Linked DNA regions of Callithrix jacchus. The protein of the gene in region 2 interacts with the protein of the main gene of each other region in a pairwise test. Links are inferred from orthologs where the notes say so. Each region holds a gene or a part of one and is shown on either strand. Other genes may lie near its edges.

Region 1 (7,814 bases), on a different chromosome or scaffold from region 2:
ACTTGAAAATCAGGCAGAGATAGCTGGACATCAACCTGAGGTCTCTGTGGAGACACAGAGGCAAAGACCTATTAGGAAGATATGGCAGGACAAAAGCTGTGTCACAATGTGAGTTGTCTTGAAGTGGCTTCTCTACTTCAGGTACCCACATTCCCTTCAATCAGACTGTAAAACTTAGTATTCTTACTGAGTGGACTAAACTATATCCAAGCAGTAACCAATCCATATTAATTTTTTTCTCAAAAATATATTTTAGTCATTCCTTCTTATCTGTCAACACTCTATTCTAGGCCCAGCTCATCTCACTCTTGGACAACTGGAAAACCTTCCTCTAAGTCCTTGGCTTATGCATCTTTGCAAACTGATCACCGGATATACTTCCTGGCAAATGGCAGGCATTCAGTAAGGTACACTCTTAAGTGAGGGTGGGAGAAGAAGGTCGTAGGTTCCTTCAAAATTACAGTTAAATAAAGTGATCTCTCATTAGTCCCATTATGGTGAGCATGCCTTATCCATGTTCCTAGTGAGGCCCCAGTGCGTCTGCAGACTGTTTGGGGATGGGGGTGGCACATGAGTGTGAAGCAGAAGTGGTGCTTCCCAGCAAGGGTTGGGATAAATCCAACAAGCTGTTTCCGAGGGACTGTGTCCCCCACCTTCCCTGCAACAATCACGAATAATCAGCCTGAGAAAGAGGATATGAGAGTTTGTTTGAAGTCTACAAACCTATTATTTGCCAATTCCAAACTCATTTCTTTCTTTCTTTCTTTTTTTTTTTTTTGAGATCTTGTTACCCAGGCTGGAGTGCAATGGCGCGATCTCGGCTCACCGCAACCTCCACCTCCTGGGTTCAGGCAATTCTCCTGCCTCAGCCTCCTGAGTAGCTGGGATTACAGGCACGCGCCACCATGCCCAGCTAATTTTTTGTATTTTTAGTAGAGACGGGGTTTCACCATGTTGACCAGGATGGTCTCGATCTCTTGACCTTGTGATTCACCCGCCTCAGCCTCCCAAAGTACTTGGATTACAGGCTTGAGCCACCGAGCCTGGCCATCCAAACTCATTTCTTACCAGACTATCCTCAGGCTAAATTTCCTTAAATATCAAATTTCTATTATCACTCTTCACACTTAAAATCTCAATACGTCCCAACTCTAAATCTAAATTGTGCTTCTGATTTTTCTTAAAAGTGAACCTGCTCTACCAATGCATCTAGCTTATTTTCCAGGAATCTCTTTTGCAACAATATACTGTGAAACCTCCACTCTCCTCTCCACTAACCCTCCTCTGTTCCTCACAGGGATTTCCTCACTGTCACGGAAACCAAAGAAGCTTATTAATTACCTACACTTAAACTTTCCCTCGTAACTCTAAATGCTCTTCTTCCTTTCTTCTTCACACATGGTCACTACTGCCCAGGTTAGTACCTGACCTTTTTGGACACTTTCTGTTTATTGAGTGTCACCTGTCCCAGCCCACCCCACTCAGAATGAAAGTGGGCACCCAGTCTCCATATGGGTAGCCCCAACCTCTTCAGCTCAAAGGTGACAGAGAAGGCACCCTAATCCTGTTCTTCATGATTGCCTCATGAATTTTAATTTATTATTTTTTTAATTTTTAGGTTCAGGGGTACATATGAAGGTTGGTTAGAGGAGTAACCTCATATTTGTTTAAAGTCCATATTGTGACTCCCAAGTACTCGAGTTTGCTTGCTGTGTATATGCTTTGTGGTCCACTGGAAACCTTGTTAAAGGTTTTTTCTGAAAAATAAATAGAGAGTTACTACAAATGTAAAACCCAAAGTATCTACAAGATTGTCTGTGAGTTGCTAAACTGTTGAAGCTGGTGAAAGGTATGCGAGGGTTCACTACACTCTCTACTTTTGAATATGTTTGAAACTTTTAATAATATAAAGTTTATATTCAATAATGTTGACTATATTATTGAAACCTAGAAAGCAAAAGCAACGGAAGCTTTCAAGACGATATAAAAAAATTAATATAAACTAGGGGAGGGACAGCGGGGGGTGGGGAGTTGGGGAGGGATAACATGGGGAGAAATATAAGATATAGGTGATGGGGAGGAAGGCAGCAAACCACATTGCCGTGTATGTACGTATGCAACAATCTTGCATGTTCTTCACATGTACCCCAAAACCTAAAACGCAATAAAATATACATATATATATAAAGAAAAAATAATATAAAAATATCTAGTGTTCAATTTGGTCAGTAAATAAATACATGAGGGTAAGAGAAATCACTAAAAAAAAATCTCCGCAGAATCCAACAATCTCTGAAGGCTTTAACACCTAAAAATCTAAAGAAACCCCTCAAAGCAACTGGACCGCGACCATTCTTCCCCAGTTACTCAAAAAGATTCAGCCTCATCCAGCTGTAGCCCGCTCTAGAAAGGCCGCTCGGGGAGTCCCAGCCCCTCCTGACAGGGCGGGCAGTTCTCTCCGACCCCACCCCTTCCAAGAACGCAGCCCTGTGATTGGCCAAGACGCGTGCCAGAGCGGCCCAGTCGCGGAAGAGCAGCTGTTACGGCGTCTGTTTGTGTGCAAGAGAAACATGGCGGATCGGCTCACTCAGCTGCAAGACGCGGTGAATTCGGTGAGGAATTTCATTCGATTAACCTCTGTCCTTTTCTTTCCTGAGGTAAAGCAAGGGAGGAAAGGGGCCCAAAAGGCAAAACTTGGAAGTAGGAAGCGAACTGAGACACGGCTTCGGCATAAAGAGCGTGTCCCCCTTTATGGAGGGAGGCCCCACCGCGAACTTGGACGTTTGAAGCCGGCTGCCGTGCGAGGCAGCCTCTTTCGCCTGAGGAGACCGAGACAGGGAAGGTCGCTCTTGTCCGGGTCAGACCGCCAAGATTTGTGGGCTGCGCGGTCCTGTCGTGTTCCCTGAGGACAGTTTTATTATTAGTGGTGCTTACGGAATCTCTTTCTTTTGGGAGTTGGGGGAGAAGCCGAAGCTTTTTTCTTTCCTCATCAATTTTAATCCACCAAGGGAGGTCTCATGCTCTGGATGACTGGGTTTTTGTAATGAAATGTCGGCGCTTTCAGGTTGGTGCGGGAGCGAAGCTGAGGTGAGGTGAGAGATCTTTCGTCTTAGCTCGTTCCTATGGGCCCAGAGTCTCCTTCCATCTCTTGTCTCTTGGCCACCCTTTAGAATACATCAGTTTGGGGACATCTGTATGATAGGAAATCTTCTAATTCTCGCATACCTTTCCGTTTGAGTCCTTTTTTCTTTTTTCTTTGAGACATTGTCTCGCTTGGCCTCCCGAAGTGCTGGAATTACAGGTGTGAACCACCACACCTGGCCTGTAAACACTTTTTTAATGTCTCCCCCAAATTCTATTCTATTAAAGGCAAAGTCTTGTGAGTAGTTCCCCAATTTTGTTCCTTCTGGTTATTTTTCCTCCACAGTATTGCCTGAGTGGAAAGTAGATGCAAAGCCAAAGGATGCGTATACAATCATGAGTATGGGCCCTTAAAGAATGGGTTATGTAAACCGTAAATACATTAACCAGTAACAGTTAGTATCATTATCTGGTATTATGGACTCTACATAATTGTATGTGCTGTACTTTCATACATTGGCAGTGTGGTAGGTTGGTTTACACCAGCATCACTGCGAGCACTAAGTAATGCATTGCGCTACAGCGTTAGGACTGCTACGATGTCACTAGGCGGTAAGAATTTTCAGCTTTGTTCTAACCACAGGGGACTGACATAGTATCCTTTGATCAAGACGTCGTTATGAGGCTGTGGGTATACTTATTACCATTACAAATTACATAGTTTTCCGTTAAATAGTTTTTCCTCGATAGTTATGTTTCTCATTGTCTAATTGTGATTTAATGTCTTAAATAAGGGGCTGCAGAGAAAACATGCTGCGAGGAAAACCTAAGTACCTGGTCTCCTTGCCAGTTTTTTTTTTTTTTTTTCATTATTGCATTTTAGGTTTTGGGGTACATGTGAAGAACATGCAAGATAGTTGCATAGGTACACACGTGGCAGTTTGATTTGCTGCCTTCCTCCCCTTCACCTATATCTGGCATTTCTCCCCATTCTCTCTCTCCTCAACTGTCTACCCCCCCGCTGTCCCTCCCCTATTTCCCCCCAACAGACCCCAGTGTGTAGTGCTCCCCTCTCTGTGTCCATGTGTTCTCATTGTTCAACACCCACCTATGAGTGAGCTCATCCTCACTGGTCATTAGAGAAATGCAAATCAAAACTACATTGAGATACCATCTCATGCCAATTAGAATGGTAATCATTAAAAAACTCTGGAGACAACAGATGCTGGAGAGGATGTGGAGAAATAGGAACACTTTTACACTGCTGGTGCCAGTTTTTTTTTCCCCCACTCACTGTAAGCTAATAACTTGGTATTTTTGTTAATACATCAGGCTTTGCACACTTGAAGAGTGTGAATCTACTTGTGATAAACTGATATACTCTGGGTGATTAACAGTAGTTTTTAAGGCTGAGAGGACCAGTCTCTAAATGTTGACTTCATCAAGATAAATTCTACCCTGCAGGGACTTGCCTGGGCTGCCAGCCAGCCTCCTTCAGGGAACTACTCCTTCGAGGTTTTACAAAATCAAATTGTAATGATGCTGCTGGATAGAAATCTTATTTTAGGGAAAATTTCTTATATTCATGTATGTCTTGTAACTAGAAGGATAGTAAGAACAGAGTGAATATGGCCTTAACTTTAGGTTAAGCATACTGATAATTGGATTTTGGAGAGAAGCATTTAGGATAACTAGTATGAGTGCCTACTGTATATAAGCGCGATCATGTTTTCAAAGAGATACTCCTTCAGGAGGTTAAAAAATGTATATTCAGGAGACATTTAAGTGATGGAAAAACAGTTTGTGATTAGGGAGTTACAATGAATTGAGTGTTTTCAACTGCAGGTTCTGAAGTAAATTGGAATATGGAGTGATGTGAACCAAAATAGGGAGAATCTTCTTAAGCATTTATTCTAATCATAATTAATTATTTGTATAACTTTTAACAGTTGTTCTACCCTCTGAAAACTGAGTGCAGAAGCTATGTCTCATTTACTATGTGTTTATATACAATACTTGTCATAGTTATTTTCCATAAATTTTTGTTGACTAAATGGATCTTAAGAGCTTTTGAAGAATGGAACAGATAACCACTGTGTTGAATATTTTTGTGTCTTGTCTGTTCCTCACAACAATGTTGTAATATGAGAATGTATCCAATTTAAAAATGATAAATGCTACTTGAGTTAATAGAACTAGGATTAGGATCTAGACTTGTATAGCAGCTGAGCGCTTATTGCTCCATTACAATTAGCAAAACCTGGACAAAGCCATTTAGTCATGAGTGACTTTATAACTAGGTAAATATGAAGGAGTAGTGGAAAACAAGACAGAGGAAAAGAGAAAGATTAGAAGTATTAGTAGAATTTGAAGATCAAAGGAAAGTAAGAATCTGTGGTTAGACTGGTTGACTTAGAGACTGTCAATACAAATTAAACAGAGAAAACAGTTGCCTTTGAGTTCTGTAATTGAACAATGGCAGAGAAACCCAGTGCAAATGCTTATTAGAAATAGGAGGTTTGAGAGGTCAAGACTAGGTGAGAGAAATTGGTGGGGAGGATAGGCGTTTTTAATTTGGAGATGATAAGGAATTGCTGTTCTCAATCTTTAGAAGTACTTAAGGAGTACTTTTAGCGCACAAGAGTTTAAAACTTGAGTCTTGAACAAATATGTTTCTGATTACTTAAGGTGCTTTTCTGAGCAGCCTTTTCCCCACTATTTCTTTATGCTTGTAACTACTCCAGTTTCAGAAAAGGAATTATATACTTTGTACATGAATAATAAATTTTCATTTGACGCAATGCCATAGGTAGATATTTGCAAGTCAGATTTCCATCACTGCTCTTTTCCATCACTGTTCCCCAAAAGTCTTTACTTTTGGCTTATAATAAATATTGGCTAGTGTTCTCTTACCATTTTACTATCAAAAGAAAAGAAATATTATTTTTATTTCAACTGTTTCAACTGGGTTGATACCAAACTTAGTTTCTTTGCAGAATTAAAATGTTTAATTAACGTTATTAGTAACTGGCTTATTTTATCAGCAATTATTCCTTTCTGTTTTATTCCCTTACTCAGAGATTATGATTAAAGAAATTTATTGTTGTTGCTGTTATCAATAAAGTCCTTAAAATTGATAAGTCCTTCCTAACCTTGACATGTTTTCTTTGGCCTAAGCTTGCAGATCAGTTTTGTAATGCCATTGGAGTATTGCAGCAGTGTGGTCCTCCTGCGTCTTTTAGTAATATTCAGACAGCAATTAACAAAGACCAGCCAGCTAATCCTACAGAAGGTAAACTGGTTTTCTTAGCTTCTCTTTGACTCTCACATTTATTGTAATCCTTTCAAATTAGATTTATTGAGCAATTCGGCTTATTTTGTTTCCAAAAATTATGCTTAATTCCCAATTTGAGCTAAATGTGTAATAGGATTTGTGTATATTTTAATCATTAGAATCCTAGTGCAGAAAAAGCTATGTGAAGTTTCCAGTTTCACTAACTTAAAATTTGTTCTGAAAACTTGAGGTTTTCTAATGACCTGATCTAGCATTATCTTTCTCTAGAGTATGCCCAGCTTTTTGCAGCACTGATTGCACGAACAGCAAAAGACATTGATGTTTTGATAGATTCCCTACCCAGTGAAGAGTCTACAGCTGCTTTACAGGTAAGTCTTTATTCCTTTGAGAATTTTACCAGTAATAGAGAATTTTGAATTAAAGGAGCAAGGTTTAATACCTTTTGTCTGTGTCCATTTGTGCTGCTGTAACAGAATACCTGAGACAATAATTTATAAAGAACAGAAATTTATTTTCTCACAGTTTCTGTAGGCTGGGAGGTCCAAGATCAAGACATTTATTACTCATTGTGCATGAGTAAGACATTTTTATTTAACACAGTGCTATGTTTAGGGCCATGTTTAAGGCCATGTTGAGGGCCTTCTTTCTATTTCCTCACATGGCAGAAGGCAGAAGGACAAAAGAGCAAGAATTCCCTCTTCAACCTCAAGCCATTTTATGAGGGCACTAATTCTATGAGAGCTTTGCCTTCATGACTTAATATCCTCTTAAAGGCCCTTTCCTTCTTAATACCTTCACATTGGGGATTAGATTTTAACGTATGAATTTTGGAGGGGACACATAACGTATGAATTTTGGAGGGGACACATTCAAATCATAGCACCTTTTGTTATAATATTCAATTTTCCATTATAAGGAAACCTCTTATTTCCTCAATTGTGTCTCTTTTCCTAGTGAAGAATGAGAGGAGGGTGGCATTCTAGATGTGGAGTAGAACAATGGTGCCCAAATGTAGTGTGGAAGGGAGTCACTTACAGATATCTAGAGATTTCTAATTGAAAATTCATTCTTTTTAATAATTCAAATGAGGAAAATTCTTAGAAGTTATCTGATTTTTAGAATTTCTTTGCTGAAAAACACAATAATTGCAAAGTCATCCAGATTTAAAAATAAGTACCTCTGTGACAGCTTCCCTCGTTAACTCTAAAGATTTCAAAATTTCTGTCTTATAAAGGCTGCTAGCTTATATAAGCTAGAAGAAGAAAACCATGAAGCTGCTACATGTCTGGAAGATGTTGTTTATCGAGGAGACATGCTTCTGGAAAAGATACAAAGTGCGCTTGCTGATATTGCACAGTCACAGCTGAAGACAAGAAGTGGTACCCATAGCCAGTCTATTCCAGACTCGTAGCACCAGTGGATACCATGTGGCTGAGAA
Region 2 (7,232 bases):
TAGAATATGGTATAATCTCCGACATCTCCTGCACTGAAAAATAAGACCCAGTGGAGTGGATGGCAATGTCAGGGGACAAATGAATCATAATAAGAACTGGCACTATTTTATGTCTCAATGCATCTCAAATACTTTATATACATTGTATACATTTTACCAGTCCGACAAAACAGAGTTTATCAAACCCACTTCACAGAAAAAATGTCTGAAGCCCACAGTCTGTTAATGTGCCTAATTTTTTCATGGCTGGTAAGTGACAGGACTGGGGCAAGACCCCTAGTCTGAATGAGTGTAAAGCACACTCTGCTTCATGCCTCACAACCTGAGACTGACTGTGTCCCCTTACTCACTTTTCTTCTCACTGCTCCCAAATGTACATCAAGTTATAAGATTCTGTGCCCAATTTGCTGGACTGGAATACAGAACCAAAGCAACAAAATCACCAAAATGACTGAGACGTGTGAATAAAGGAGAGAAAGACAATATTTGATGACAATATGATTGCATAATCAAATACATATAAACTCAAAGGATCATGGGCTCACATTCTGTCATTCTGGTCAGTCCCCCCATTTTTTAAGGAAGTTAAATACTTTCCAAGAGAAATACATAAGAGACTGGTAAAGAGAAGAAATAGATCAATGTGTTTCTCTGACAGTATGACTTCTATCCTGGGGCTTCTGTTTGTGTTACAGCTTCCCCATCTTACATCACTCCTGGGACAGGGATGCATTGTCTGCAAGATTTGTTGTAGGGAAACTGGTCAAGACTTTTAAGGGATGTGGTATTTCCCAGGAAGTCATTAATTAAGGGACAAGAACCAAGAAAAAGACCCTCATATAGGAGGACAGAGCAGAGCAACATGCCAGACACAGTTCTTAGCCTGAGCATCTCCTCACTTATTCTTCAAAGTTCATAGGGACTTGTGAGTTCTTGGACCTCAGGTCAGTAGAGGGAGGAGTCCCATTCTCTGACACGTACCAAGTTGAGGACCCTGAATAAAGAATGAGGGAAGCATTCACCCCAATAGTCTTGACAGGATGTAGCTGAACCTAATTTCTACTCCGGAGGTCTTAAGAAGTTAAAGACCATTATCTCAGGCTAGCTGACTCAGGTCCATAGAGATAGGATTCCTAAGGTGTGCCAGGAGTAAAGTGAGTACCCTGAAGGGTGCAGGAACCACCAAACCCCTATCAGTGTAGACCCCACAGAATCCTCCCTATTGTCATCTCTGAGAGATTCAGGCATGAATGTCAGACAGAGGCACCCTCATATCATCAGTAGTAACAGAGAAGTGAAGGTCTTGTTCTGAGGTGGGCAGTCCCAGCTCAGCAGGGGGAGGAATATTAAGCCTTCCTGTGAGTCAGATTTAGGATCCTGAGTTAGGACCTGAGTAGGACGATCCACCATAAGACCTCAACCTGGCTACCACAGCCGCCACTCTTGGGAGACCATAGTCAGTTATGGCCAGATAAGGCCACCCTCTCCTCCTCCTATCAGATCTCAGGGAGGTACAGGCCTTTTAAACAGAGAGGTCTTGAGGTCAAAAAGGAGGGGAGCCTCAGGATCTTCCAGGAGCCAAATAAAGGAAAACAAGTGAGAGCTGAGGGGGCTGCTCACCTCTAAATAGAGAGGACAACAGACTCTAGCCCCCTGCATAAATCTTAAATTGCCAGGGCAACATGTGAGGCTGAGGCTTCACCATCACTTTTTTTTAAATACTTGACCTTCTTTTTTCAGAATAGTTTAATGTTCACAGCAAAACTGAGCAGAAAGCACAGAGAGTTCCACAGGCATCCTGTCCTCCCAGGCACAGCCTCCCTCATATCAACCTCCCAACCCAGGGTAATACACTTGTTACAATTGAGCATACAGGGACACATCATTATCACCTTATCAATTTAAGACAGAATTGCTTTACTGCCTTAAAAGTTCTCTGTGCCTCATGTATTTATCTCTCACTCTTCCCAACCCTTGGAAACCACTCAACTTTGTACTGTTTCTACACTTTTGCCTTTTCCAGAATGTCTATAGATGGAATTATGCATTGTGTTGCCTTTTCACATTGGCTTCTTTCACTTTGTAATATGTAGTTAGGTTTCCTCCATGTCTCTTTGTGGCTTGATAGTTCTTTCCCTTTTAATACTGAATAATATTTTATACTCTTAATTTACCCACTCTCCTTCTGAAGGACATCTTGGCTGCTTTCCAGTTTAGGCAATTATAAATAAAGCTACTATAAATGTTTGTGTGCAGGTTATTTTGTGAACATTCTTTTCAACTCATTTGGCTAAATAACAAGAAGTGCAGTTACTAGATCATATGATAAGACTACACATAGTTTTGTAAGAAATTTATAAACTGTCTTCCAAAGTGGCTGTACCATTTCGCATGTCCACCAGCAATGACAGTGTGCTCCTATTGCTCCACATCCTCGTCGGTAGTTGGGGTTATCAGAGTTTTTGATTTTGACCATTCTTATAGGTATGGAGTGGTTTCACATTACTTTAATTTGCAAGTCCCTAATGACATGTGATGTTGTGCATCACTTCATGTACGTATTTACTTTCTGTATATATTATTGTTGAGATGCTCATTTATATCTTTTGCCCATTTTTAATAGGGTTGGTCCATTCTTATTGTTCAGTTTTAAGAATTTTTTGTATGTTTTGGTTAACAATCTTTTATCAGATATGTCTTTTGAAAATAAATTTTTCCCAATCTGGGAGTTGTCTTATTCTTTGTGGTATCTTTACCAGAGCAGAAGTTATAATTTAGTGAAGCCCAGATTATCAATTTTTTTTTCATAGATGCCCATCACATTTTATGTCAGAACTAGAAAAGGTGAAATTCTTGGTCTGAAGTCGCAGTTATTAGTCATCAGAAGAGACAGTCCACAACCCTGCATGGAGTCCAGATGAGGAAACTGAGTGCAAACTTGGGACCTGAGGATCCCAGGACAGAGAGCACTAAATGCTTCGAAGCAGGGGTGGTGGGTTGAGGTGCCCCTACATTTCCCTCATCTGGGTCCCATAGAAAGTTAAAGATTCTACTTCACAACACCAATAGAAGGAGGCTGAGGCCCTGCCAAGAGCTGACAGGATAATTCTAAAAGTAATCAGAGTGGATCCTTTCCAAGCCAGAACACAGAGAGAACCCAGTCAGCCCCCAGCAGGGTTGGCAAGCTGCAGCCTAAGGCACATTGTAACTTCCTCAGCTGAGTTCTCAGGGGACAGAATGACGAAGAACAATAGCCCAGTCAATACTTAGAGCAGTGTTCTCAAGGAATCCTGCAGAGACGGTTTCTGAAAAGCCAAGGTAGTATCTGCCTACTAAAGGTGTTCTCAGGATCTCAATCTCTCTTCTCCAGGCACCATATCACCTGCCCTTCTGGCTACTCTCCTACCTGTTGTGCCTAATCACAGCTATCATGCCTCGAGGTCAGAAGAGTAAGCTCCGTGCCCGTGAGAAACGCCAGCGGACCCGTGGTCAGACCCAGGATACCAAGGTTGCTCAGGCCACTGCAGCAGAGAAAGAAGAGTCTCATTCCTCTTCCTCATCTGTTTTGGGGGATATTCCCTCCAGCTCCCCTGCTGCTGGCATTCTGCAGAGGCCTCAGAGAGCACTACCCACCACTGGTGCTGCAGCTATGTCATGCACTGGATCTGATGAAAGTGACAAGAGCCAAGGTGAGGAAAAGGCAAGTTCCTTCCAGGCCTCAACATCCACTGAGAGCTCAATCAAAGATCCTATAACCAGGAAGACGAAGATGTTGGTGCAGTTCCTGCTGTACAAGTATAAAATGAAAGAGCCCACTACAAAGGCAGAAATGCTGAAGATCATCAGCAAAAAGTACAAGGAGCACTTCCCTGAGATCTTCAGCAGAGCCTCTCAGCGCATGGAGCTGGTCTTTGGCCTTTCCTTGAAGGAAGTCAACCCGACCAGTCACTCCTACACCATTGTCAGCTTGCTGAATCCCACCAACGATGGAAACGAGAGCAGTTCCTGGAAATATCCAAGGAATGGGCTTCTGATGCCTCTACTGAGTGTGATCTTCTTAAGTGGCAACTGTGCCAGTGAAGAGGAAATCTGGGAATTCCTGAATGTTTTGGGGATCTATGATGGTAAGAGGCATATCATCTTTGGGGATGCCCGAAAGCTTATCTCCCAAGATCTGGTGCAGGAAGAATATCTGGAGTACAAGCAGGTGCCCAACAGTGATCCCCCACGCTATCAATTCCTGTGGGGTCCAAGAGCCTATGCTGAAACCAGCAAGATGAAAGTCCTAGAGTTTTTGGCCAAGGTGAATGATACCATCCCCAGTAACTTCCCACTCCTTTATGAAGAGGCTTTGAGAGATGAAGAAGAGAAAGCCAAAGCCCGGCCCAGAGTTGCAGCCAGGCGTGGCACTACTGCCATGACTAGTGCACATTCAAGGGACACATCCAGCAGCTCTTCCCACCCCATGTGAGATCTAAGGCAAATTGTTCAATTTGTAGTTGAAAGACCTGCTGCCTTCTGCTGTTCCTGTGCTGCATGAATAACTCGGTGATATATCTCTTTGTTGAATTTTCCTGTGATGTTTCTTAAAATAGAAAGGTTATTTAAATTCAGAATATAAGCTTAGAAATGGCATGCATCACACACTTATTTCTGTTTATCAGGTTGGTTTAGTAATAAGAGTTTGGTTTTTGAAATACAAATAGAAAATCTGAAAATCGTTTTTGTGATACAGAGCAAAATAACATGGCGTTGGAGTAAGGTTATTTTTAGAAATTTAAAATAACGCCACAGTAAAATAGAAGAATCTGAAGACAGAAAGAGAAGAAAAGCAAAAGTTGCTTTATTTTTGATTTATCTTACTACTTTTAGTCTTTTGTTGTTCATAAATTTGAAAGTTACATACCTGGTTTGCTTAGATTATTTAAGAATGTGGAGGCTTCGGCCAAGGTCAATGACAGTGTCCCCATTGTCTTCCCTCTATTAAGAGAAGACTTTGAGAGATGAGGGAGACAGTGTTGCAACTGCTCCTGGCATGTTCCAGTGTGATGTCCAACAGTGTCATCCACTCCTTGTGAAGTCTGAGGTATATTCTTTACTTTTAATTAAAGAAAATATTAACCTTCTAATTAATAGAGGGCCAAAGAGGAGTTGGTGGGAACATCATATATAATATATTTGTATGTAAAATGATTTATCTTTTCATTTTCCTGTTTTTCAGTGTTCTTTCTTTTAATTGTAGAATTATTTAGTTTCAGAATCTAAGTTTATGAATGGCATGAAAAACTCATTTATTAAAATATGTCAGGTTGAAGAACAAGAACTTTTGCATTATGTAAAACAATTTAAAATCTTTAAATCTTTTTCTGTGATCTAGAACAAGACAATATGACATTAGAATACAGAATTTGTGAAAAGGAAATTACCTAGCAATAAAGTTGGTGGGATCATGAAATAGAGAAAAAAAAGTAAAATGTGGTCAATTCTTGCTTTGTTTTATTCCTTTTAGTCTTTCTTTGTAAAACTGAAGTATATGTATCTGGATTGGGTTAGCTTTCTCAGGAATGTGGGAGAAATTAAATAGCAATACATTTGACTTCCGGCTCACTTGCACTTTAATTGTCCTAATATTAATTGAGCAGCTACTCTTCAGAGGGCTCCTAGCTAGCACTGGATAAGCAAAAAAATAAAAATTAAAAAAAAATAAAACCCTGTCCATAGAATTTTAGAATTCAACAGCAGCTATCACATAATGAAGGTAATGAGATAGTCCCTAAGACCTAAAGACAGTTGAAAAGAGGATATAAGAAGGTGGGGGTGTTTCTAGGGGAAGAATCTAGTGTAAATGTCCTAAGCAAGGTAATTGAGACTCTGGGAAACTGAACATACTGCAGTAGGAGGTAATTTTATGTTGCTGCATAGTGACTAGATGGGGCGCACCGAGCAGGGGGGTCACACACTCAGATGATGGATCTCAGAGTTGAGAGTTAGAGACTGGAATGAAAAATTGCCCTTAAAAGTTACTTTGGAATTGTGGAAAAAAACAGAGGAAATCTTTGCCTGGGGTAGGGATTGAAAATGGCCTGTGCTCTTGTCCCAGCGCAAGTGAATCCAGTACACAGATTAGGTGTTTTATGCACATAGTCCCCGGGGTGTTTCTGAGAAATAAAGGTGTTACTCCTTTAAGACTGGAAACTCATATGCCACTGGGCTAATACTCTGCCATCAGCTGGGGAGCCAGAATCCATTCCATTAAAAGGGCATTCATTTTTCTTTTCTTTCATGTGTTTTGGAAGTTTTAAGGGACATCTAGATTTTTGGTGATGGTAAAATAAATGAATATAAGGGTGGTTTGTATGAAAGGCTAGAGTTGGTCTTTGAAGCAAACCCTAGAAGGTTTCAGTTGCTTTCAGCTGAGAAAGACAACTCCACACTCAAACTATGATTCAGTATGGAAAAGATACTTAGAGTTTCTTTGTAAGCTGCATTTTGGGCTGATTTGTAGTTTCATGTCTTAGAATGTTGTATATTCTTTGTTATCACTTGGGCTTAAAAAAAATCAGCAGATTTCTTCTGAATCAACTACAGATGATTTCTTCTGTAGTTGAAATAATCATAGTAATAAGCATTGTTTAAAGTCTCAATGCACTCCAGGGCTTTGCACATGTTAACCACATTCCACCAGTCCTACATCACAAGGCTTATCAAGCCCATTTCACAGATGCAGAGCCTAAGGCTCATAGAGTTTGGTAATGTGCCCAAGTTCATACAGCTAGTAAGTGATAGGGCTGAAACTAGACTGCTGATCTGAATTCCTCTAGAGTCCACACTGTTCCACTCCTCCCAAACTGAAGCTTACCACAAGTTGCTTAATTCATTTTCTTCTGCTAACCCAAAGTGTATCTCAGGTAACAAAGAAGAGGTCTATGCCCCAAACACTGATTGGAATACAAAACCAGAGCAAGGATAATACCAAAATAATTGACACATGTAAGTTAAAGACAGAAAGAAATAATACTCGGTGACAATATGATCATCAACAGAAGCAAAATCAGATAGCTTCAAAAGATCGAAAGATTGCAAAATCATCTGGCTTCACCCTTTTCTATAGAAAGTAAGTCTTTTAGAAATACCCTTTGGTTGGTGAAGTGAAAGAACAGATCAGCATGTTTTTTCCCCTGAGAGCACAGTATCTGTCCTAGGCTCTCCACCTTCCATTTCAGTTTCCCAAT

Evidence for each region. The genes of interacting proteins can lie anywhere in the genome.
Region 1: the proteins of MAGEB4 (region 2) and MED21 interact in binary tests that used the Homo sapiens proteins (3 or more experiments, as listed by UniProt). The two-hybrid records come from large-scale screens. The link is inferred for Callithrix jacchus from reciprocal best matches to the Homo sapiens genes MAGEB4 and MED21.

What each region holds. Positions count from the first base shown.
Region 1 is NC_133510.1:44,219,275-44,227,088, reverse strand, and holds the start of MED21 (mediator of RNA polymerase II transcription subunit 21), read left to right. Parts: upstream 1-2,547; 5' UTR 2,548-2,570; coding exon 2,571-2,612; intron 2,613-6,258; coding exon 6,259-6,373; intron 6,374-6,643; coding exon 6,644-6,744; intron 6,745-7,610; coding exon 7,611-7,787; 3' UTR 7,788-7,814. UniProt on the Homo sapiens protein: Component of the Mediator complex, a coactivator involved in the regulated transcription of nearly all RNA polymerase II-dependent genes.
Region 2 is NC_133524.1:31,132,723-31,139,954, forward strand, and holds MAGEB4 (melanoma-associated antigen B4), read left to right. Parts: upstream 1-3,294; 5' UTR 3,295-3,430; coding exon 3,431-4,471; 3' UTR 4,472-5,024; downstream 5,025-7,232.